4 linked regions of the Rattus norvegicus genome follow. The protein of the gene in region 1 purifies or fractionates together with the protein of each later gene. This does not show direct contact. Links are inferred from orthologs where the notes say so. Each region holds a gene or a part of one and is shown in the gene's direction. Other genes may lie near its edges.

Region 1 (5,804 bases):
GGGGAGGACCAAAACGGGTTTATTTTTATTCGTGTGTGTGTGTGTGTGTGTGTGTGTGTGTAAGATGTGTGTGTAAGATGTGTGTGTAAGATGTGTGTGTAAGATGTGTGTGCAGGTGCCCACGGTGGGCTGGATGCTCTACAGCTGAGTTATGGGCAGTTGTAAACTGCCTGATGTGGGTGCTGGGAGCTGAACTCAGGTCCTTTGGAAGAGCAGCAAGTACTTTTAACTGAGCCACTTCTCCATCTACCTCCATTTTTAAAGAGTATTTAGAAGCTGTCTTGAGGTTCTGTGCTGCTCTGGTAGGGCTTCCTGTATTTCAGCACTTGTTCTGTGAAATTTGGTCTCCATACCCTGGCTTGATTAGTCTATTTCTGGCAACCTTGCTTTCTTGTTAGTGTTGTTGACTCGACCTGGGTTTCATCCCACCTCCCCAGACAGCTGGACATCTGTTGGCTATGCTTACTTGCAGGAATGATGGGACGGAGTTTGGTGGCTCCATTTACCAGAAGGTGAACAAGAAGTTGGAGACTGCTGTCAATCTCGCCTGGACCGCAGGAAACAGTAACACTCGCTTTGGAATAGCAGCCAAGTATCAGGTCGACCCTGATGCCTGCTTTTCGGTGGGTACCTGAGAATCACTCGTCTCACACGATTGAGAGATTTCTGTGCTTCTGCTTAGATGTTTTCTCACTGGGCAGAGATGATTCTTGTATTTTTTTTTTCCTCTTTTTTCTTTTTTTCGGAGCTGGGGACTGAACCCAGGGCCTTGTGCTTGCTAGGCAAGCGCTCTACCACTGAGCTAAATCCCCAACCCTGAGATGATGCTTGTATTTAATTGAGATCCTTGAGACAGATACTTTTTAGAAGAAGCCTCACTATATGGCCTTGGTGGTCTGGAACTTACTCTATAGTTCTCATAGAGATCTGCCTGCCTCTGCCTTACCAGTGCTGGGATTAAAGGAATGTGCCACAATTGGCCTCCATGGCTTTTGTTTTTATTTTTGTATTTTTTTGGAGACAAGGTTTCTCTGTGTAGCCTTGAGTGTCCTAGAACTCACTTTGTAGACCAGGAAGGCCTCAAATTCAAGAGATCCACCTGCCTCTGCCTCTCAAGTGTTGGGATTAAAGGCGTGTCAATCCCACTTGATACCTGCGTGGCTTTTATATCTTCAGTATTTTTACACTGGAGGAGCTGAGCACTTATGGAGGTTAATTGGGTAACTTCCTTAAAGGCACCCAGCACCCAGCAAGTATGTGCTGGGCCTGGCTGTAAGCAGACCGCTCCATTCTCGAGCCTCTCTAATTCATCTGTCCCATCATGACAACTGTAAGGGGTGTTTTATTCTTCCCCTCATTTCATTTGGTTTTCAGTCCCTACAGTCCACATGAAGACATCAACGGTCAGTGTATTCCAGTGGTAGAGCCCTGGCCCAGCACGTTCGAGGGCCTGACTTCAGCCGCATTACTGGGGAAAACCCCAAACAAACAGAATCAAGGCTTCGATGTAGCTCGTTTGGTAGAATGCTGGCTTAACATGCAGAAAGCCTGTGCTTGGTCCCCAGAACTGCAGAAGCAGCAGGCAGAAGGATCAGAAGGCCATTCTTGCAAGAGTTCAGAGGCAGCTTTGGGCTCTATAGTGAGATCACATCTCTAAAAAAAGACAAAACCAGGTGGCATCTTGTCTTGCTAACCCCATGGCACCCGTCAGGGGCCCAGAATGGCACAGGTTTTATGGTGAACCCACTCAACTGGCTTCTGTCATCGCACTGTAGGTGACCACCTTTTTGAGGTGGAATGAGGAAGTGTTGTGTTGCAGAATGTTTCTGTGGGTTGGTGTAACTCACAGAGTCTATTGTAAGTCTCCTGACCTGGGAACTGGACTCGGCTCCCTCAACATGAGGCATGCTTGTAAAACAAGGGCTCTCCTTGTTGGGATGTTGGGAGCATAAAGGAACAGTTAGAAGGGACACGGCCTGCCGAGAGCCCTTCTTCTCCTTGCTCTGTCCTTGGAAGTTCACAGAAGCGGGGAAAGCACACGCACCTGCACGTGACACATCTCATGTTGAGTTTTCCAAGATGGCCATGAGCAGGCGTGAACACGGTTCTGATACCTGGGATTTGCCTAAGATGCTGTCACCAATTTTGGAGGTAGACCTGTAGGACAGTTTTCACGGGTGAGGGACACCATCTTCACTTGGACTTTTTTTCTTTTTTCCTTCAGGCCAAAGTGAACAACTCCAGTCTAATTGGCTTAGGGTACACTCAGACCCTAAAACCAGGTAGGTGTTACCCACGTGCAAAGCTAGTTTTCTGTTGCGTTTTGCTGATTTCCGCTATTGCTGAGGGACATTATAAACGAGTATATATAGGCTTTTATAATAATTAAATGTTTATTAAGGGAGTTGGGAAGCCATTGTAAGAAGAGAGTCCGAGAAAAGAGTACAGAAGGAAACGGCCTGGGCTAACTCACATCACATCTCTGGTTCTTTTCTCCTTTCCTTTTCCCAGTATATGATACCCGATAGCTACTCCCAGGCTGGAGTCAAAATTATCCTGTCAGTCATCCTCACGATAGACATAGGGATGGTGGGTAGTGGGTCTTCTATGCATAGTTATCCCAGCCTCTCACTAGAGTGTGAGGACTGCAGAAATGCTCAAGGCTGATTATGTGATATGAGAATCAAGTTCCTCTAGGGAAAACCAGCCCGTTCGATCTAAGTCCCAGGAAAAGAAGAAGTTTATTGTTTGCGTGTGTGCGCGCGCGCGTGTGCGTGCGTGTGTTTGTGTGTGAAGATGAATGTAAGACTCAGGCTGTTACAGGATAGGGTTTCCCTCTAATGCAGTATTGCTCCAGCAAGTCTTGTTGTAGGGTGGCAGTAGTGGTTGGCACACTCATTGTAACTGGGCTGGGGGAGGCAGGATGGAACGGGGATTCGGAAGGATTCCAGCAGGGTCTCTCTGCTCTGCGTCCCAGCGGTGGCCATTCACATGTGTTGCTTTGAGGATGGCAGCAGGCCGTGTTGTATTATAGAAGCTTGAAGGCTCACCTTGCTTGGCCACCGCCTGGAACAGACTCTGACTTTGATGTTAACCTCTCTTCTCTTTCCCTCCCTCCTGCCCCTTTCTTCCTCCAACTGTCACCCCGCCCTCCCACACCTTCTGCCTCATCTCCCTACAGGTATCAAACTGACACTGTCAGCCCTGCTGGATGGCAAGAACGTCAATGCGGGTGGCCACAAGCTTGGTTTAGGACTGGAATTTCAAGCATAAATGAATATTGTACAATCGTTAATTTTAAACTATTTTGCAGCATAGCTACCTTCAGAGTTTAGTGTACCTTTTAATGTCATATGTTGGGGATGCGAGAGTTGATTGATACCACGTTAGACCTCCAGGCTAAGGATGACTCGGCTTTAAGGTGTTTACCGTTTCAGAGGTACAGCGGAAACCCCATTCCAGGAAGGGTCCTTTTTAGCTGTAGGCGTGGGCTGGGGAGGAGCTCCTCTAGAGATGCCAGGCTGCAAGTGGAAGCTGGGAACGTGTGGACCCTTTGTAAATCTGTATCCAGTCCGCACATGAAATTGTGACTTCCTGAACATCGAACCCCGGTGTCCCGATCCTGTCTGCTCGGAAGCATGTACACACCTACGTGAAAGGGACGGTTTTTTTTTTTTTTTATCGGATGGTCACGCCCTGTTCCCATCGTGCCCTGTTCCCATCCTAGCCCATCAGTTACCTGTTTTACACCAAAAGTAGTCTTTAGGGTGTAGTTAGCAATTTCTTTTGTGCCATTTTAGGGTGGAGAGGGTGGGCATGATGAAGCCAGTCATTCAGGACTTAATTCTTCCTTGTGTTGTGGTGTGGTTTTCTTCCTTTCTTCTGTTTTTTTTTTTTAATTCCTTTTTTTTTGCCATTGCACCAGAGTATGAAATAGCTTCCAGGTTCTCCGGCTCAGAGCTGGGCGGGTGATTGTGGTCACACCCTGACAACACTAGGGATCTCAACGGACTCCTCTTGTAGCCGCACCACTATTTTTAGCAGTTTAATGGGTACATTATAGAGTCTTCCATTTTGTGTGGAATTAGCTCCTCCCCTTCAAATGCTGTAATTAACATCACTTAAAATAAAACTTGAATAAAATACTGAAACCTCATCCTCTCTCGTTGCTTTTGGTAAAACTGTGAATGGCCAGGGCACTGGTTTGGATTTGTGCTTTGCTCCTTTGCGTTCATAGGACTTTTGTTCTTGGTGTCTGTCTGATAAGTCACCACTAACCTGACAGAAAAGAAGACTTTGGAGGCTGGAGAGGGGCTTAACAGTGCTTCCTGCTCCTGTAGCCCTGCAGCCGCTCTCTGACTCCCTCTCCTGGCCGCCTTAGGTACCCACACGTGTGTGACACAAATAAAAACATCTTTTAAGAAAGCATCACAGTTGATGTGATGGCACATCCTTGGAGATAACACAAGGATATAGTGAGTGAGTTCTGTGAAGAGGAGAGTTGTGAGGTGTAGGTTGATGTCATTATGCAGGTGAAGGCTGGGATGGATAGAAAGAGGCCTGTCATTGGGCGAGAAGGATGGACAGGAGAAAAGTTTTAGAGAGGCAGAGAAGGCTGGAGCCAAGGAGGAAGGAGCTGAGAGAGCATGGCGGCGGATGTTAAGATTCCTCTCTGCACATATTACAGGTTGTAATGACTATTCTTAAGGGATGGATATGTATAGGATTTTGTGTCGTCTAGATGGGCAAATTATATCTTATCAGTTGGACCAGAGGTTATTGTGTGATGTGTTCTTTCATGCGATGATTTAAATTGAGTTCAAGAAAGTGTATGGTGGCAGGATGTACTGGGCCCACCACGGAGTTGGGATGTGTATACCTGACCTGGTGTGATGGAAACCAGCCAAGAGAGCAGTGAGTGAGGGCGGGGCAGCCTGACAGTCGGGTTGGAATGGCTCATGGACAGTGGGTCAGAAAGTAGATGGGGCCAGTGTGGAGCTGCTGAGATAAATTAACACTAGTTCCAATGGCCCACCGGAGCCAGAGCCAGAACTATCGAGAGAGCTCGAACGCCAAGGTACGTGTGGAAACTGTTCCGCTGTTTTTGCGAGGTTCGGGAGGGCCTGCCCTTAGTGTTGGAGTCAAACCACAACAGACCAACATGGTTCCACGTGGAAAGGTTTAATAAGAGGAATAGTAGAAGAGGAGAGGAGTAAAAGCCGGCCATGAGCATGTGGAAGGAAGGGGGGTGGTGGGGAGAGAAGGGACAAAGGAGAAGAGGGCAAGAGAGTGAGGAGGGGGTAAGCAGCCCCTTTTATAATGCCAGGCAAACCTGACTGTTGCCAGGTAACTGGGGGTGGAGCTTAGACAGAATGCCAACAGTTGAGTCAGGAAGCTAGGGGTGTTGGATCTAGAGAGAACTGCAATCAGTCACAGGCAGTCTGATGAGGGTACTGGGAATTGAACCAGGGTCCTCAGCAAGAGCATTAAGCATTGTTGAACCACAGCCTCTTCCAATAAAATCTTTTAGAAATTATATATATATATAGTGTAAATATAAATTACATAATATACATTATATAATCTATATAATATATAGTGTGTAAATTATATATAAATAAGTATATATATGAAAGGTCACTAATCACCGATATGTCGAGGGTGTGCTGGCTTCTTGGCTCAGGTTTGAATGAGAGTGTTCTCTTAGGCTCTGGCATTTGAGTGAGTACTTAGTCTCCAGTAGGTGCTGTCTGGGGAGGCTTAGGTGGCGTGGCCTTGCCAGAGGAAGTATGTCACTGGTGGGT
Region 2 (6,111 bases), on another chromosome or scaffold:
CCTAGTGGGTTTCTGCTTGTCAGTGATGCAAATGAAGTAGCAACCAACTTCACTCGTCCTAGCATGATGCCATGATCTATAATCACAGAATGGCAGATTCCTAAAGGAAAGCAATGACAGTCAGCAGGAGGCTGGCCGCAAAGCCCACTCATTCCTCCTCCAGCAGTGTTTCTTTCTGTTGCCAACAGAAGAGGGTTTGAAGCACTAAATTAGCTTCCTTACACAACTCTTAAATTCCCTGAACAGATCCATGAGCACCATTCCGCTTTATTCCGAGCACACGTGTGCTGTGTGTGTGTGTTGTGGTGTGTGTGTGTGTGGTGTGTGTGTTTTGTGTGTGTGTGTGGTGTATGGTGTGTGGTGTGTGTGTGGTATGTGGTGTGTATGTGTGTATGTGTTGTGTGTGTCTGTGTGTGTGGTGTGTAGTGTGTGTGTGGTGTGTGATGTGTGTGTGTGGTGTGTGGTATGTGTGTGGTGTGTGGTGTGTGTGCGGTGTGTGTGTGTGTGGTGTGTGTGTGTGTGTGTGTGCGGTGTGTGGTGTGTGTGTTTTGTGTGTGTGTTTTGTGTGTGTGGTGTGTGATGTGTGTGTGTGGTGTGTGGTATGTGTGTGGTGTGTGGTGTGTGTGCGGTGTGTGTGTGTGTGGTGTGTGTGTGTGTGTGTGTGCGGTGTGTGGTGTGTGTGTTTTGTGTGTGTGTGTGTGTGTGGTGTGTGTGTGTGTGCGGTGTGTGGTGTGTGTGTTTTGTGTGTGTGTGTGTGTGTGGTGTGTGTGTGTGGTGTGTGTGTGGTGTGTGGTGTGTATGTGTGTATGTGTTGTGTGTGTGTGTGTCTGTGTGTGTGGTGTGTAGTGTGTGTGTTTTGTGTGTGTGGTGTGTGATGTGTGTGTGTGGTGTGTGGTATGTGTGTGGTGTGTGGTGTGTGTTTTGTGTGTGTGGTGTGTGGTGTGTGTGTGGTGTGTAGTGTGTGTGTTTTGTGTGTGTGGTATGTGTGTGGTGTGTGTGTGTGTGGTGTGTGTGGTGTGATGTGTGGTGTGTGTGTGTGTGTGTGTGTGTGTGTGTGTCCTTCCATTGTGGTTTCTAGAGAATGAACTCAAGACAGGCTTGCCTGGCAGGTGCTTTATCTGTTCATTTTCAGGACACATTTTTTTGAGACAGGGTCCCTTGTTTGACCCCTCAGTGTTGTAAAGAATGATCTAGAACTCCTGACCCTCCTTCCTCTATCTATCTCCCGAGGGCTGAGATTATAAATGCATGGCAGGCTTGTAATAACCTTTGTCCTTTTGATACAGGCTTTCCGGTAACTGGTTCAGATGCAATCTCTCCAGAAAACTGTTTAGATAGTTAAACTCTGTCCTCCACCTTCTTCAAAACCTGGGCTTTTAAAGAACTAAGTCTGCTTCTTGCTGGTACCACTAACAATATATACAGGATAGAGTCAAAGGCAAAAACTTTGAACTGCACACACACATACACTTCTTATCAATTCCATCGTGTAACTTAATATCAGGTATTTATTTCAGTGTTTCATACAATACATATACAGAACACGATTAAGCTACATATCGTATACATTACATGAATATACAACACGGCACTTAGAATTATGGTCTGATAAATGGCATGCAAAGGTATATCTACTTCAATATTTATACAGATTTTTTTGTTTTACATATTTTAAGGAACAGCATAACAGCATAGTATTCCATTATAGGGGCATACCACAATTACTAGCTCCCGATTTAGTTTCCCCAAACACTACACACACACACACACACACACACGCACGCACGCACGCACGCACACAGACAGACACACAGACAGACACACAGACAGACAGACAGACAGACAGACAGACAGACAGACACACACACACACACACACACACACACACGCACACGCGCACACACACACACACACACACACACACACACAAAGAGCGGAGCTGAACCTAGCCTGCTTGGGCTCCTCGCGACTCCCGGACACCCAGCCTGGTGGGCGGGGCTCCGGGGTAGGCGGGACTCCGACCGGAGGGCGCGGCCGCGGCTCCTCCCCTCTCCTCCGGCGGCGCCGGCGGCGGCAGCACTTCCGGGTCGGCGCGGAGGCGGGGCGGAGGCGCCGCGGCTGTTATTGTTCCGAAGGGCTGGGCCGCTGCGATCCGCGCTCGGCGCTGTCAGTTCGTCCCGCTGCCCCTCGGCCCTTGCTGCTGGCTCTGACGGCGACCGACGGCGGGCGGGGCCCGGGTTCGCGGCCGAGCGGCGCCGGTGAGGGCGCGGAGGAGGCGCACAGCGGGAGGAGGAGCCGTGAGCCTGGCACGGAGCGGCCGCGGCCATGGCGTACGCCTATCTCTTCAAGTACATCATCATCGGCGACACAGGTGAGGCCGGCGGCGGGCTTGGGAGACCCAGAGCGGGCAGGAGGGGCAAACGGCGGTGGCGCCGGTAGGCACGGGTCGGGCGGCGCGGCGCCTCCCTTCCTCCCTCGGTCCCCTGGCCGCCGCTCCATTTCCGCAGTGCTGGCGCTGGTGACGTGGGCGCTGCGAGCGGCCGCGGCCTGGCTGGGCCTTCCCCGCTTCGCCCGGGCCCGCTGCAGCCCAGCCAGCGGCAGCCGTTTGCCACTCCCGGAGAGTGTGACAGCAGGATGGCTGTCCCCGGGGCCCCGCCTCGACTGTCTTTGCGGCCCGGGGAGTGAGAGAAAAGCCGAGCGAATTAGAGCGTGACAGGCCCCAGTCCGGATTTTTCTCCCTGGTCCCACCTCCCCGACCTGCACGCTTCCGTCTAGGCCCTGGCAAGGCGCACCCTGAAGTGGGACAGCCTGTTGAGGAGAAAAAAAAATTGAAAAAGGAAAAAAAAAATCTTTTTTTTTTTGAAACATCCTCAACCTCCAAGTCCTAATAAGTCAGGTCACATGATTCAGTGGCAGGGCAATTCTTCTCGGGGTCATTAAAGCACTGTAGACTCCGGCGACTTTTGCCACGTGTATGCTGGGATTATTTGATTGGATAGTAATGCAAGGCAGGTCAGTGCTCTGGGTGTGAGCATACAGTGGGTATGCTGACTGACTACTGATTTTTTTCTTTTTTTCAGTTGTGTCAAGTCCAAGATCACAACTGCTAATTTTCAAGTGACCTCGTGTACATTTGTAGCAAAAAGAAAAAAAAATCAGTCCCCACTTAAAAATAGCATCCTAATAAGTTTCTCAAGCAAATAAGCAAGCTGTTCATGAAATACTTTGAATACCTGCGATTTGGGCCTCATTTCGAATCTAATAATAAACGTAAAGCTTGTTTAGGTGTTAAAACTATTAATACATCAGAGTCTGATTTCAGTGCTGACTGTTGCACAACCTAGACCCCTTACACAACTTTGTAAATGTAGAAGCAGGTTTGAGGTTGCCCTATGATGTAGCAGGTTCTATAAGTAACTCTGGAAGTATGTTGATTGCTGCCCAATAAAAACTTCCTGCTGTAAATACAGTTTTTCAGCAAGGGATGTGAGTGTGTGTGTGTGTGTGTAAGGAAACTGGATAGTTTTCTATGCAAGGTACTGGGTAAAGCCATATTTTGTAAACTGGGAAAGTGGTATCTAAAATAAAAGCACTGAGTTATAAAAAAGCAAAATTGGAGATGTCAGATTAACTGCAATATGCCTGGGTTTGTGAAACGGGAGTAACTAAGCACTTGGTTGTCTGAGCAGCAGCACAATTTAGATTGAGAATTTGCAAGGTATCCTGTTTTGATGAGGGATCTATTGTGGATTGACAAAGTAATGTGCAGGGAGTAATGGGAGGACAGATACTACCAAGCTGGTGCTGTGTTCTCAGGAAATGCGTCCCCATCCAAATACAGTCCCTGTGCGTGCCTTAGAAGGGAAGACACTTTCTTGGCATTCTGGTCTGACCTAGTTCTGGCATTTGACTGCTTGACACTGGGCTGTAGGGTAACACTTCGTCCACACTCCAGTTTATCTAGTGTAGTTTAACATCAGTTTACCCTGAACTACCTTGTCAAGAGGCAAGCTCTTGCTTTCATATGCCTTTGCCTTTTTAGTTTGATCCTCAGTGAACTGAAGTACCTCCTGCTTCTCTAGCATTCTTTCCTACCGCATCACCTTGCTGTTGCCTTCTGAGGCTTGTCTTGTCGGTCCTTCTCCCTCTGTTGGCCTGCCTTCTGCCATTATCTTTCCCTATGAAATTTTGTTAGTCTTTTAATTAAAGCCTTGCCCAGGCCTTCCATAATGCCTGCAGAATCAACATCTCTTGACCTCTTATATACACCAGTATTCTCCTGGTACCTTGGTTAGAAGTGAGTGCTTATTTTCTGGATTATAGTTCTCAATTTATATCATTTTCCTGATGTTTATTCCAGACTTATTTTATAGGTGTTTGTGTGGGCATCTGCATTTGCTTATGTACTTCTTGAGGGTAGAAAAGGTTTGCTGTATGGTTCTGTGCGTTAGGATGAACCTAGTCAAAGGTAGACCTTATATAGTTAACTACGTTAATCAGGAGCCAAATGGACTATACTTCGACTACTATACATTAATAATTTCAATTTTTAACTCCAATTCTGCTACCTTTTTGCTTAGTGCTTTTGCTTGAAAATTTCTACCATTTTATTTCATAGAGTGTACTAACAAGTATAATGCGATTTATAAAGTGTAAAGTGTTTTTGCTTTGAGCAAGCCTAGCTGAGTAATGTAAGTACATAATAATTATCAGAAAAAGCCAATTTCAGGAACCGAACACATCTGTGAGTTTTTAACCTCATCATCAATCCTTCTGTCCCTCATCCAGATACAAAAGTCCACAAGCCACTTGTGTTTACTCACAGCTAAAAATGCCCCCTTTTCTTTTGCCTAGATTGTGGTAAAACTGCCTTTCCTGACCAACTCTCTTCCTTCCCTGTTGGATTACAGTGGTCTTGTCCTCGCCTGCCCCGTTCTCTGGTCCTCCACCCTTCTTCCCCACTCTACTAGATTTTAAATGATCCTTTTTATTAGAAGGCTTTTCTTCTCACTATTGTGTGAAAAAGTTTGTGTACCTTGTGAGGAACTTCTTACTGCAGAGGTAACATTTGAGCTGAAGTTAAATAATGAGCACAGGTTAGGTGACCTAGGTTAGAGATTTGAGAACTAATCACGAATGCAGTCCTCTTTGTCCAAGATTTTATTATTTGAACTGTTAAAATTGTGAAGTCTTAATTTTTTGAAATTTTATGTATGTGCATGAGTAACTGCATATACTGTATATGCATGTGTGTTGGGGGTGTGTATGGGTGTGTGTGTGTGTGTTTATACCATGTACTTGCCTGATGTCTGTAGAGGCCAGAAGAAGGTGTCATATCAAATCACCTGGAACTGGAGTTGAGCTACCATATATGGTTTTTGGGAGCTAATCCATGATCTCTGAAAGGGCAGCAAGTGCCCTCAACAATTGGGCCCTCTCTTAAGTCCCCAAATTAAGAAATCTCGTAGGGAAGAAAAAAAAAAGTCTCAAATACATTTAAATCTTAATACATTTATAAATAAGCTCCTAGTGTGAGAAACTCCTCAGAGTTTCTCATTTGTCTCCACACTCCTGCTTTGATATCAAGGTTTGATGGCTGTACCATGGGTCAGACAGTTGCAGTGCAGAATTACAGATCATGCACCCCAAAATGCAAGGTCTTATTTATTTGGTGAAAATTATTCTGGTGCACTGGTTCACATGTAAAACTATTGACACCTGGGGATCTGACAGTTGCCCTTCTGGAATGAAGTGGGTGGTGACCTTTCTTTCTTTAGCCAAGAGGAAAGCACACTGAGGTCTTCTTCCTGCAGAGAGGAAGAGCCACCTAGCAGTAAGGTGTCTTGATTCCACAGAGGTGTCTCCACTGTTAAACTCAGTAGAAATTGGACTGTTGGTGGAGTGGAATGGTTTGAGTGCTGGATTAGGAGATGAATGGATGCAAAAAGCAAGTTATACAAGTGTAATCTATACCTGCATCCCCTTTTCTTTCTTAAGTTTTAATACGGTAATATTGGTCTTCATGTTACTTCCTGTGTGCATGGCCCAGCCAGGTTTCCATAGTGGCTGTCAACTGTATTTCATGTTTTGGAGTGTTTGGGGAAGTTTTCA
Region 3 (5,470 bases), on another chromosome or scaffold:
AGTCTTGGTGAAAAGCCTCAGTAGACCAGTTTGTACCCCATCCCCCAGACAGCACCTAACCAAGGGGACAGTGAGACTGCCTTACTGATTCTAATTGTGTTCGCATGTTCAGATACACTAGATTCCAGTAAATCTCTTAAGCCATTAATGTTCTTAAAATAGCTCAGCTATTTCCCTTATCTTACTACTTGCTCTTAGCTTGCTTGCTAATGATGCAAAAATAAGATCAAGGCAGTCGCAGCCTCCTGGAATACTCACACAGTTTGCGGTGGCTGGGGTTTTACTGTGTTGCTCAAGTGCTACTGAGTCTCAGAAGAACCCCGAGTTACAGATGTTCAGGTGCTGGGGGAGGTTCCCGGGCCCCAACTGTCCTCTGTGATGCTGCTGGCCTGTGGGAGTTCTCTATATAAACCAGCCATCAGCGAATGAGGCTCAGACCTAACTGAGGCAGCTTGTCTTGTGAGGCTGGGCTTTATTCTTTGAAGGCTGTTTGCTTGGCGTTGGGTTGGAGTTGGTTTAAGAAAGATGTTGTTTAGCTTGGGAGTCACTTGAAGATGGCTGCCTCATGTTTTGCCTTACCTCAGAGTGGGCATTTTCTATCTTTCTTGACCAAAAAAAAAAGAAAAAGAAAAAATTATCAAGAGATATTTGAAGGGTAGCCAAGCTGTGAAAATAATAGCATTATTTTCCCTCCCTGTCAAGGTTTCTGAAAGTAATTTTATTCTGCTTGATAGTTGGCTTTTCTTTTCTTTTCTCTTTTCTTTTTTTTTTTCTTTTTTTCAGAGCTGGGGACCGAACCCAGGGCCTTGTGCTTGCTAGGCATGCTAGGCAAGCGCTCTACCACTGAGCTAAATCCCCAACCCCTCTTTCCTCTTTTCAAATGGTCATCACCACCACCCCTCTCTCACAGGGCTGCTGTCCTTGTGAGAGTCTGTTTGCTCACCTTCGTGTCCAGGCTCACATGTCAGAGGTCTAAAATGCTCACCTGTATAAAAGTTGTTTACAGGAGAAATGCTTGGTAGGTCAAAACCGTTGTGTGGTCATGTGAGTAAGTGGATCATAGAAAACATAGGTGTGTGTCCCAAAGCAAGGACAGTGACTTAACACCACCTGATTATGCTACTGCCAGGGCTGGGAAGAGCGTCCAGCTCACAGGCTTCAAGCCCAGATGATTTTGCACATTGCACATACATGGAGCCTTTGACAGCTTGTGCCTGGCTCTGAGCCCTAAGCCATGTCGCTTTAAAGGCTGAGGCAATGAGTGATATAGAAATCTTTGAGGTTGGTTGGTTTGTTTGTTTGTTTGTTTTGTTTTTTCCCATACTTACAGCCACAAGTGTTGAGTTGTGAATAGTGTTGAGTGCGAGGCTTTGTAGCAGCCCAGGGGAAGGTAAAGGCAGACTCCAGTAGGTAGGGAAGTCGGTGATGTCTCCAGGCACCCTTTCACCTGAAGCTGATATGGATGGGGAAGGAGGTTAGCCCGGAGCCTGGGGCACTGTGAACAGCCTGGTCTGGGTCACTTCTCACCTCTTTTCTCTGCCACTGACAAGATTGGAGTACATCCAGAGTTTACTATTTCCCAGCGATGCCGTATGAATCAGCCTTCCCAGGTCATTAACAGACGATGTCTCTGTTCCCAGCGTGCAGTAGCGGGAGATGCTTCCGAGTCGGCGCTCTTAAAGTGCATCGAGGTCTGCTGTGGCTCCGTGATGGAGATGAGGGAGAAGTACACCAAGATAGTGGAGATTCCTTTCAACTCCACCAACAAGTACCAGGTGTGCCAGTCAGGGACACTCACACGGGGCATGGGGGACCCTGGGGCTCGTGAGCTAGAGGAAGAGACATTCTTCACGCAGTCAGGCTCCCCAAGCTCTGTCTGACTTTAAATTTGGGAGTCTCCTTTTATTTGAATATCAGTAGGAGAAATGAAACCTCTCTCAGAATGTTGTTGGGGACCTTGGAGTTGGGGGCTGGAAGAGGAGGGAGATTGTACCAAGCGTTCTCCAGGAGTTCATGATTGTCTCTGTGAGCATGTGTATGTTAGATGTGTCTTCACTTAGGCATACAGTAAATGCCTGCTTCTGTAAAATCAGCATGTACCGTGAGAAAGGAGCTCTTAGTTTGCTTTATATTATAGCAGGTACTAACTGGTTAGGAAAGCCGACCTTCCTCCCTGAGCTGCCTCGTGCAGCCTCCTAATGCTTGCGTCTGAATGATCTTCACAGCTCTCCATTCACAAGAACCCAAACGCATCGGAGCCTAAGCACCTGCTAGTGATGAAGGGCGCCCCAGAAAGGATCCTGGACCGATGCAGTTCTATCCTCCTCCACGGCAAGGAGCAGCCCCTGGACGAAGAGCTGAAGGACGCCTTTCAGAATGCCTACCTAGAGCTGGGGGGCCTTGGAGAGCGTGTGCTAGGTATGCAGGTGACCGCCATGGCTCCTGAGCACAGCTGTGTCAAGCACAGCGATCTCCGTGTTCTCGGGGTGTTCCTCTTAACGTAGGGGAGCCACGCTGCTGATTACATTGTTTAAAGCAGAGGTGTGGAGAAATAATGGTTATATTGGCAAACAGTGTTGTTGCTTGGCTGACCTGTGGCTTCACGATACTCAGTTCTATATGGCAGGAGGTGGGGGTGGCAGTTTATTGTCTAACCTCATTGTTATGGCCATGGTCTGTAAGCTTAATTAAAATCTGTTTGTTTCTGGTGTGCCTAAGTAATACCTAAGATGACTGTTCTTGGCCCCTGGGAAGTGACCACTCCACTCATAAAACCAGCAGCAAGCCAGAAAGCCAGGATGCTGACTGTATCCTAACCGGGCAACTGCTGAGGTTGGCACAGAAGTTTATTTTGCCCTCTGTTCAAATTTATTTGGGCAACTGGCACTAACAATATTTTATATATTGGTAGATACAAATCCATTATTTGATTATTCCTGGTATCTAAAGGTACTTGAGAACCAATCACTTGGTCTAGTTCTCTGGGTCAGACACCTTTTCCTACAAAACTAACCTATAGGCAGTTTCTCCCACATGTCTGCCCAATAGAAAGACTACTGTCTTCTCTAAGGTCATTTTGCTTTTTTGCTTTTCCCAACCCCAAGTAAGAGGGATCTACTCTTCTTGGGACTGTCACACAGTGCTGAAGGCAAAGTCTGAATGTCTTATGTCTTAAAATGGACAGCCATGTGTTACAATCACAGCAGGATGTCTGTTCTGTGTCCGTCTTCAGAGACGCTCCTGTGAATGCCCATACAGGCGCTCAGTAACAATGACTAGATAGGAAGAAAGTCTCAGTTTTCCAGATAAGGTGCCTATGTATAATTCATCACACTGAGCAGCCTAACGGCATGGTGCTAAAGCTAGTGGTCCAATGGTCCCCACACTGAGTATTCTTGACCCTGGATAATTCTTTCTGAATTCTGTCCTCTGGCCATTTTTATTCTCTCACTGACTCTGTATTATTCCTAAACTTTGACATTTAACATGTAGCCCATATAGTCATGATGGTTTGAAGGACTGCAATTGACCCTCACAGCCTATGGCACTGGAAACCTAACAGGTACTTGCCCTCCCTTGTAGGTTTCTGCCACCTCCTTCTGCCTGACGAACAGTTTCCCGAAGGCTTCCAGTTTGACACTGATGAAGTCAATTTCCCCGTGGATAACCTCTGCTTCGTGGGTCTTATCTCCATGATTGACCCTCCTCGAGCTGCTGTCCCCGATGCTGTGGGCAAATGCCGCAGCGCTGGGATTAAGGTATGGCCTGTTTGTCTCCTTGGCTTTGTCACAGAGCTGTGGTTCCTGGTCCAAACACTGCCCTGGTCCATACAGTGCTCCCTCTCCCTCTCCCTCTCCCTCTCCCTCTCCCTCTCCCTCTCCCTCTCCCTCTCCCTCTTCCTCTCCCTCTCCCTCTCCCTCCCTTCCCCCCCCCCCCCAATAGTGTCTATCCATCTCTCATTTCCTAAGCCTTAGGTGTAACCCTGAAGGGTCAGATACTCTTGAAAGGTTGAGGTTTAAATTTGGAAATGCAGTGAATGGCATGCTACCCCATGTTTTGAGCTGGCTTCTCAGTGATTCGGTCTCTGTTCTTTTTCTGAGGGCCTCAGTACTGTGCTGCCTTTACCCCCGAGGCTGCTTCTGCTGTCCTCAGGCTCCTGAGGATCCTTCACTGAGAAGCTTGATATTAATTATCTTTTCAGTACTTTATTTCTTTTAAAGGATACTTTTCTAAATATTAAAAAAAAAAAAAAAGAAACCATGGGCTGGGGACATGCTGCGTGGTTAGGGACCTGAGTTTGGTTCCCGGCACCCACCTGACGAAGCTCACAACCACCTGTGGCTCAGACTCCAGGGGGCCTGATGCCTCCAAGGACTCCCGCACTTGGTGTGCTGTCCCCAACCCCTTGACACAAACTCATACACACATACTCTAAATAAAATCTATAGTCGTCCTCCAGAACCGGATGAGTGTGGAAGTGCTATCCAGCAGTATACACGGCGTCCTAGCCCAACCGATATTAGGTCTTCTTACTCTGATAGTTTTAAAAAAATGTGACTTTTATGTTTCTGTAAAAAGAGATACAACATAATGCATTGTGGATATAGTCATGGCATTGGGCTGTGTTTTTTTCTGAAATATGTGTTTATATTTTATGTGTTTATATTTTTGATGAGTTGATGCCTACCATTCAGTTTCCTGTTTCAGGTCATCATGGTCACAGGAGACCATCCAATCACAGCCAAAGCCATTGCTAAGGGGGTGGGCATTATCTCAGAAGGTAACGAGACCGTGGAAGACATTGCTGCCCGCCTCAACATTCCAGTGAACCAGGTGAACCCCAGGTACGGCAAGAAGCTGAAGTATAGTCCCTTCCTGGCTCTGGACTGATTTGTTTCTTGGCTTGCACCAAGGGAGTAGGGAGTGCTCCCACACTACTAGAGAGAGCGTGACCTTGTTGCTCATAGGGAGAGGTCACATTAATCCACATGGTGCTTGCTGTTCTGAGTTCTTACTGTGATGATGTAATAGGCAGGGAGGGAATCCCACTTGCTGAACTGGGAAGTAGAGGCTTAGGGATGTTCAGAGCGCCCGGAACTGGAGAGGTCAGGTGATAAATTGTCTGCACTAGCCACTGGGCTGTTCGTGCTTGGTCGGTTTCCAGCTCCACACTGAAGAAATAAAGGAGAAAAGACAATTGTTCAGGTAGCTCAGGCAACAAAGAAGGGAGAGTTCATCAAAGTAGAACGTGGGTAATAGAAGGCAGGTAAAGTGTTCGGGCGGTAATGGTGCTTGCCTGGTGACCTGAGGTTGATCCCTGGAACACATCTGAAAGTAGGAGAGAAAGGACCCCACTAAGATGTCCTCTGCCCTCCACATGTGTGGCTTGGCATGCATTTCTACATACACACATCAGCCACATGCATGCACACCCGAGCATACATGCTCATTAATTAAAAAGCATATGGTG
Region 4 (4,809 bases), on another chromosome or scaffold:
GGACACTTAGACATTAGCCACGTGAGATCCATGCTTTGTAATGAGAACAGAACGTGAGTGCATGTGGTGGCTGTGGAGATGCTCCTGCAGTCCTGGCTGTAGCCAGCTATTGAGGGCCACCCCTGGGTCTGATGGTTCTTCAGCCCCTCGACTTGTTTTCTGATGCAGGTAATTCATTTTGTAAGATCCAGGTATTTTAATCCAACTTGATTTTCTTCTTTGCATTTACCTCTTAAAAACCAGACCAGGAAAGTTGATTGAGTAATACCAAAGGTAAATCACACCCATAACTTCAGTATCAACATTTCTTATAAAACAAGAGCTTAATGGTGTCGGGATTAAGTGAGTGGCTCAGGAATGCTTGCTTATTATTTTAGCTATCTATGCTGGGAATTCACATTGTATAGAAATCTGATGTCTAGCTAAGCAGGTACTTTTGTGTTCTGTTCTGCTTTTGGTTATATCTAGGCATTTAAGTCATTTAAGACACAAAGAACTGGCCACCAATTGACCCTCAGTGGTGTCCTTCCTGGTAGTAATAGAATAAACACACAAACACCCCTGATTCTGCTCACCAGGACGGATCCAACAGACATGCAAAGTGTAAATTACCTCATTCCCTTTTAATTAGAGATTATCACTACAGTCACTATAAATGTCATTTCAGCGGTCTTCTCACTTTGTTTTTCAGCTCTGTATGAGAAGGCTGAGATTAAGGGACCTGAGGACAAGAAGAAGCACCTCATTATTGGTGTGTCCTCGGATCGAGGCCTTTGTGGTGCTATTCATTCCTCCGTGGCTAAACAAATGAAGAATGACATGGCTGCCCTCACAGCAGCTGGGAAAGAAGTTATGATTGTTGGAATTGGTGAAAAAATCAAGAGCATACTTTATAGGTAAATGAGACATGTGTTCCATGTTCAGAAGAGTGGGAACCTGAGCGAATGGAAGACTGAGATAGAGAAGTTTTTCGTGATACATTGGAGTGTTTGTGTATACTGTGTGTTGGTTTTTACACTGTGTGTGTGCATGGGCTCTCCTCTATACCAGGAGTGGAATACAGTGAAGCTTACCAGAGCTGTTGGCATTAAGCTAAAGAAGGAATCCTGAGTTGTCACAGCCTAGTAATCCTAGAAAGGACCACTAGTCCACTAAGACTGGACAGTAGACGGGCCTGACTTGTAGATCTTGGTTTTTGCAGGTGCCCTTAAAGGAAGTCATGATGTATAGAACAACTTAACCCACCTCCCACATCCCTACAAAAAGCCCTGGCCTATGATAACTTTTTTCTTTTGCTCTTTTCTCACAACGCAGTATCTCACTCACCTATTGTGTGCTTTCCAGGACTCACTCTGATCAGTTTTTGGTGTCCTTCAAAGACGTGGGGCGGAAGCCCCCTACTTTTGGAGATGCATCGGTCATTGCCTTGGAGTTGTTAAATTCGGGATATGAATTTGATGAAGGCTCTATTATCTTTAATCAGTTCAAGTCTGTTATCTCCTACAAGACAGAAGAGAAGCCCATCTTCTCTTTCAGTACCGTCGTGGCTGCTGGTAAGCCGCCTTCACACGGCAGGTGTGGCGACTGGGATGCTGTCTCTGTAGTTCAGAGCGCCTGCTGCTTTTACAAAGGACGTGGGGTCGGTTCCCAGCCCTCACATATCAGCTCCCAGCTGTCTGTCATTGCACATCTAACCCCCTTCTGACTCTGGGCATTAGTCACACACATAGTACACAGCATACATGTGTGCAAAATACTCATAAGATAAAATAAGAAAGGCAGCAGCACTGTTGTGCCCTCCAGGACACCTTAACCAAGCTGGAGACAGCCGAGCTCTGATCTGTCATTTTACTGACCAGTGTTAGTAAGAAAGTTCCTGTTTCCAGTGACTGAAAAGCCTTGTTAAAAATTGGCTTGATGCAGTTTGCAAACAACTGCTGTGCAGTCAGATGTTAGAGGTTTAAAGTGCTCATGGTAACTGATTTTTATGCCCACTGAACTCTGTCATCTTATTATTGGACAGTCACCTTTGCCAGAAACAGCATACCTTGTGTGTATTATATTTCATCTGTGGAGTTTACTTTGGGGTGTTGTGTATAATTACCCCTTTTCCCCCTCCTTAGACATGGGTACTTGCTGTTTAGCTCAGGCTGGTCTCCAAATGCACAGTCCTTTGTATAACACTATTAGATTGTCTTTGATTTTTTTTTAATTAAAAAAATATTGAATGATGTATATGTGACAAATGCTTGGCTAGCTGCTATTTGGAGAGCTTTATAACCATGAAACCTAAGCCCCCACACACTCCCCTGATAGCTGAGGATTGCACTTGCTCGGCAAACACTCTCCTTATTGAGCTAAATTCTCAACCCCCTAATTTTGAAATTTAGTGCTTATTTTAAATGCCAGCTTAAAGTTATCTTTGGGGTTAAAAGCTAAATACCTGTTGATGCATGTTTTTGCTGATGATATGCTATGGAAATTGAATTATTAGAACAGTCATTTAACTCAAGATCATTTAGAATCCTTAGTCATGAGCTATATGAATAAGCTTCATCTATATTCTTCAAGGACACTCTTGACTTGTTTTAACAGAGAACATGAGCATTTATGATGACATTGATGCTGACGTGCTGCAGAATTACCAGGAATACAATCTGGCCAACATCATCTACTACTCCCTGAAGGAGTCCACCACCAGTGAGCAGAGTGCCAGGATGACCGCCATGGACAACGCCAGCAAGAACGCCTGTAAGCCCATGCTAGACAACATCGTTAGCCCATGCTAGAAACAAGGGATTGGACAAAGCTCCAGGAACACTTAGAGCCTAGCTGCATCTCTGCCAGAGTGCGTGCGTGCGTCTGTCTGAGTGTTGCTCAGAGTGGCACCAAAAATGTTAAAAGAGTGTTTTGTTGAGGTGTCCATCTTACTTGATAGTGGATTTGCAAGCACCATGAACATGGCTTGTGGAAAATGTGAAAAATAACTTGATTAAATTCCTACCAACCTGAAAGGCCAGTTTGGGGGTCCAAATTGCAGCAGAATTTACTTCAACTCTTAATTGCTTCAATTAAGTAGAAATTACTCTTTTCAAAACGTTTTATTGTGGTGTCTGTCTGTCCCTTTTGTTTGCAGCTGATATGATTGATAAATTGACGCTGACTTTCAACCGCACCCGCCAGGCCGTCATCACGAAGGAGCTGATAGAGATCATCTCCGGGGCTGCTGCTCTGTAAGTAGTGTAGCTGGTGCCTGTGAAGCCGCTCTTCTCTCCGCACGCACGTGGGTCAGCGAGCCTCGGGCCGTTGACTTTTCTGTTCTGTTACAACCGAAAAGACTTGCTGCAGCGTCTGTGTCCTTTCATCAATCCTGATGGAAAAGACATCTCTGCTTTATCCTTACGGTTTGAGCTGAAATGTTCAAATTTAATTTCCCATCTTGAGAGAGGCCTTTGTATGCAGTTGACTTTCTTGAAGTATTGGGGAGAAAGCCGTGAATAATTCAGTATCAATTTGGAAAGTCTGGTTTTGGAACTAATTGTATCTATAAGCCAAACTTTCTCAGTTAAAGACTAGTTTTAGGTTTGATTTTATATAATTCTGTTAATTACTGGATGATGAGAATTTTAAGTCACTAAATATTCTTCATTGGTAAATACCAATGAGTACCATAAAATAGCATGCTGTTTTCCGCCAGATAATGTCTGGATTGTTGAAAGATTAAACTGGCCATCAACCACGTGCAGTTTCCCAGGCAGGTTGTTATAACAGAGGAAGCATGTGGTGATTGCCTTTGGCTTGCTAAGGCTTTCCTCCTCCTGACTGGCCACTGAGTTCTCTGAGTTTTACCTTCTAGAACGCTCTAATCTTTCCTGTCTTCATGCCATTTTTTAAACTGTAAAAGGGTTTGCTGGGGATAGGGGTTTGCTGCATTGCCTGAGCGGTTCCCAGAGTCATAGGCTCGGGCTTCCTCTCTGCCTGCCTAGTGGCATCAGGGCTAGTCTGAAGAAAGATGTAATTTGTAGATGCCAGACCCTCAAGGTGTAGTAGAGGCTGTGCTTGTTTTCAGAGAATATACTATCTTTGTTATGAGGACACAAAGAAGACAGTACAGAATTATGGCGATTACTGAAACTTTGGTCTGGGGCCATATTGTAAAGGGTTTAAAGAAGACCGTGTGTAGCCCCCAAGGGGAAGATACTTCCTTGCTGCCTTTTTACAGGTTCAGCCTTCAAAAAAGTCTACTTTGTTGCATGTAAACCTGTACTTTCTGGCCATCAGCAATCTTTCTCATATAGAATTGTATAGTTACTTGCTTGAACCTTGATCTTCCCAGGTCTTTAAACACATCGTCCTGTTTTTCACTTCCAAGAGGTGTCTGGTCTTGTCTGGGCTTCAGTTCCTCTCTGATTGTTCATTCTTCATCTGACAACTCTTCACCTTCCTTGATTGGGCGAGGGGAATCTTTTCTTCCAAAAAAACCTAACTTTTGTTGTCTAAGTGAGGCATCTTTTAGCACCTGACCACACACTGTGTCTTAGTGCTATGCTATTTTATCAGGAATTGACTTTTATTGGTCCCTGTCCTTAAGCCTTGGAGGGAGCGGGGTTTAAAACTGATTGAGTCAGTGGCATATAAAGTTACAGCTTGTTCTCTGTCTGGGTGAGCATCCTGGTCCTAAGCTGTTTTGCTCTCTAACATAGCTTTGTTATGACTGACCCAGCAGGCCATCACTGCCTTATCAGCATAGAGCACCTTGATGTCCAGGTTATAAACATGGTTAAGGTACTCTGTCTGATTCCCGGGACT

The links.
Region 2: the proteins of Vdac1 (region 1) and Rab2a purify together in Homo sapiens (affinity purification with mass spectrometry; 3 studies listed by BioGRID and IntAct, with this or other methods). This does not show direct contact. The link is inferred for Rattus norvegicus from reciprocal best matches to the Homo sapiens genes VDAC1 and RAB2A.
Region 3: the proteins of Vdac1 (region 1) and Atp1a1 fractionate together in Homo sapiens (co-fractionation; 3 studies listed by BioGRID, with this or other methods). This does not show direct contact. The link is inferred for Rattus norvegicus from reciprocal best matches to the Homo sapiens genes VDAC1 and ATP1A1.
Region 4: the proteins of Vdac1 (region 1) and Atp5f1c fractionate together in Homo sapiens (co-fractionation; 3 studies listed by BioGRID, with this or other methods). This does not show direct contact. The link is inferred for Rattus norvegicus from reciprocal best matches to the Homo sapiens genes VDAC1 and ATP5F1C.

The regions. Positions count from the first base shown.
Region 1 is NC_086028.1:37,056,387-37,062,190, forward strand, and holds the end of Vdac1 (voltage-dependent anion-selective channel protein 1), read left to right. Parts: intron 1-472; coding exon 473-623; intron 624-2,224; coding exon 2,225-2,282; coding exon of another isoform or gene 2,283-2,389; exon of another isoform or gene 2,390-3,181; coding exon 3,182-3,273; 3' UTR 3,274-4,156; downstream 4,157-5,804. UniProt on the Homo sapiens protein: Non-selective voltage-gated ion channel that mediates the transport of anions and cations through the mitochondrion outer membrane and plasma membrane.
Region 2 is NC_086023.1:26,471,301-26,477,411, forward strand, and holds the start of Rab2a (ras-related protein Rab-2A), read left to right. Parts: upstream 1-2,123; 5' UTR 2,124-2,325; coding exon 2,326-2,371; intron 2,372-6,111.
Region 3 is NC_086020.1:191,715,720-191,721,189, reverse strand, and holds part of Atp1a1 (sodium/potassium-transporting ATPase subunit alpha-1 precursor), read left to right. Parts: intron 1-1,640; coding exon 1,641-1,775; intron 1,776-2,225; coding exon 2,226-2,418; intron 2,419-3,582; coding exon 3,583-3,758; intron 3,759-4,707; coding exon 4,708-4,844; intron 4,845-5,470. UniProt on the Homo sapiens protein: This is the catalytic component of the active enzyme, which catalyzes the hydrolysis of ATP coupled with the exchange of sodium and potassium ions across the plasma membrane.
Region 4 is NC_086035.1:73,349,540-73,354,348, forward strand, and holds part of Atp5f1c (ATP synthase subunit gamma, mitochondrial), read left to right. Parts: intron 1-691; coding exon 692-896; intron 897-1,344; coding exon 1,345-1,553; intron 1,554-2,595; coding exon 2,596-2,751; intron 2,752-3,086; exon of another isoform or gene 3,087-3,136; coding exon 3,137-3,233; coding exon of another isoform or gene 3,234-3,237; exon of another isoform or gene 3,238-4,809.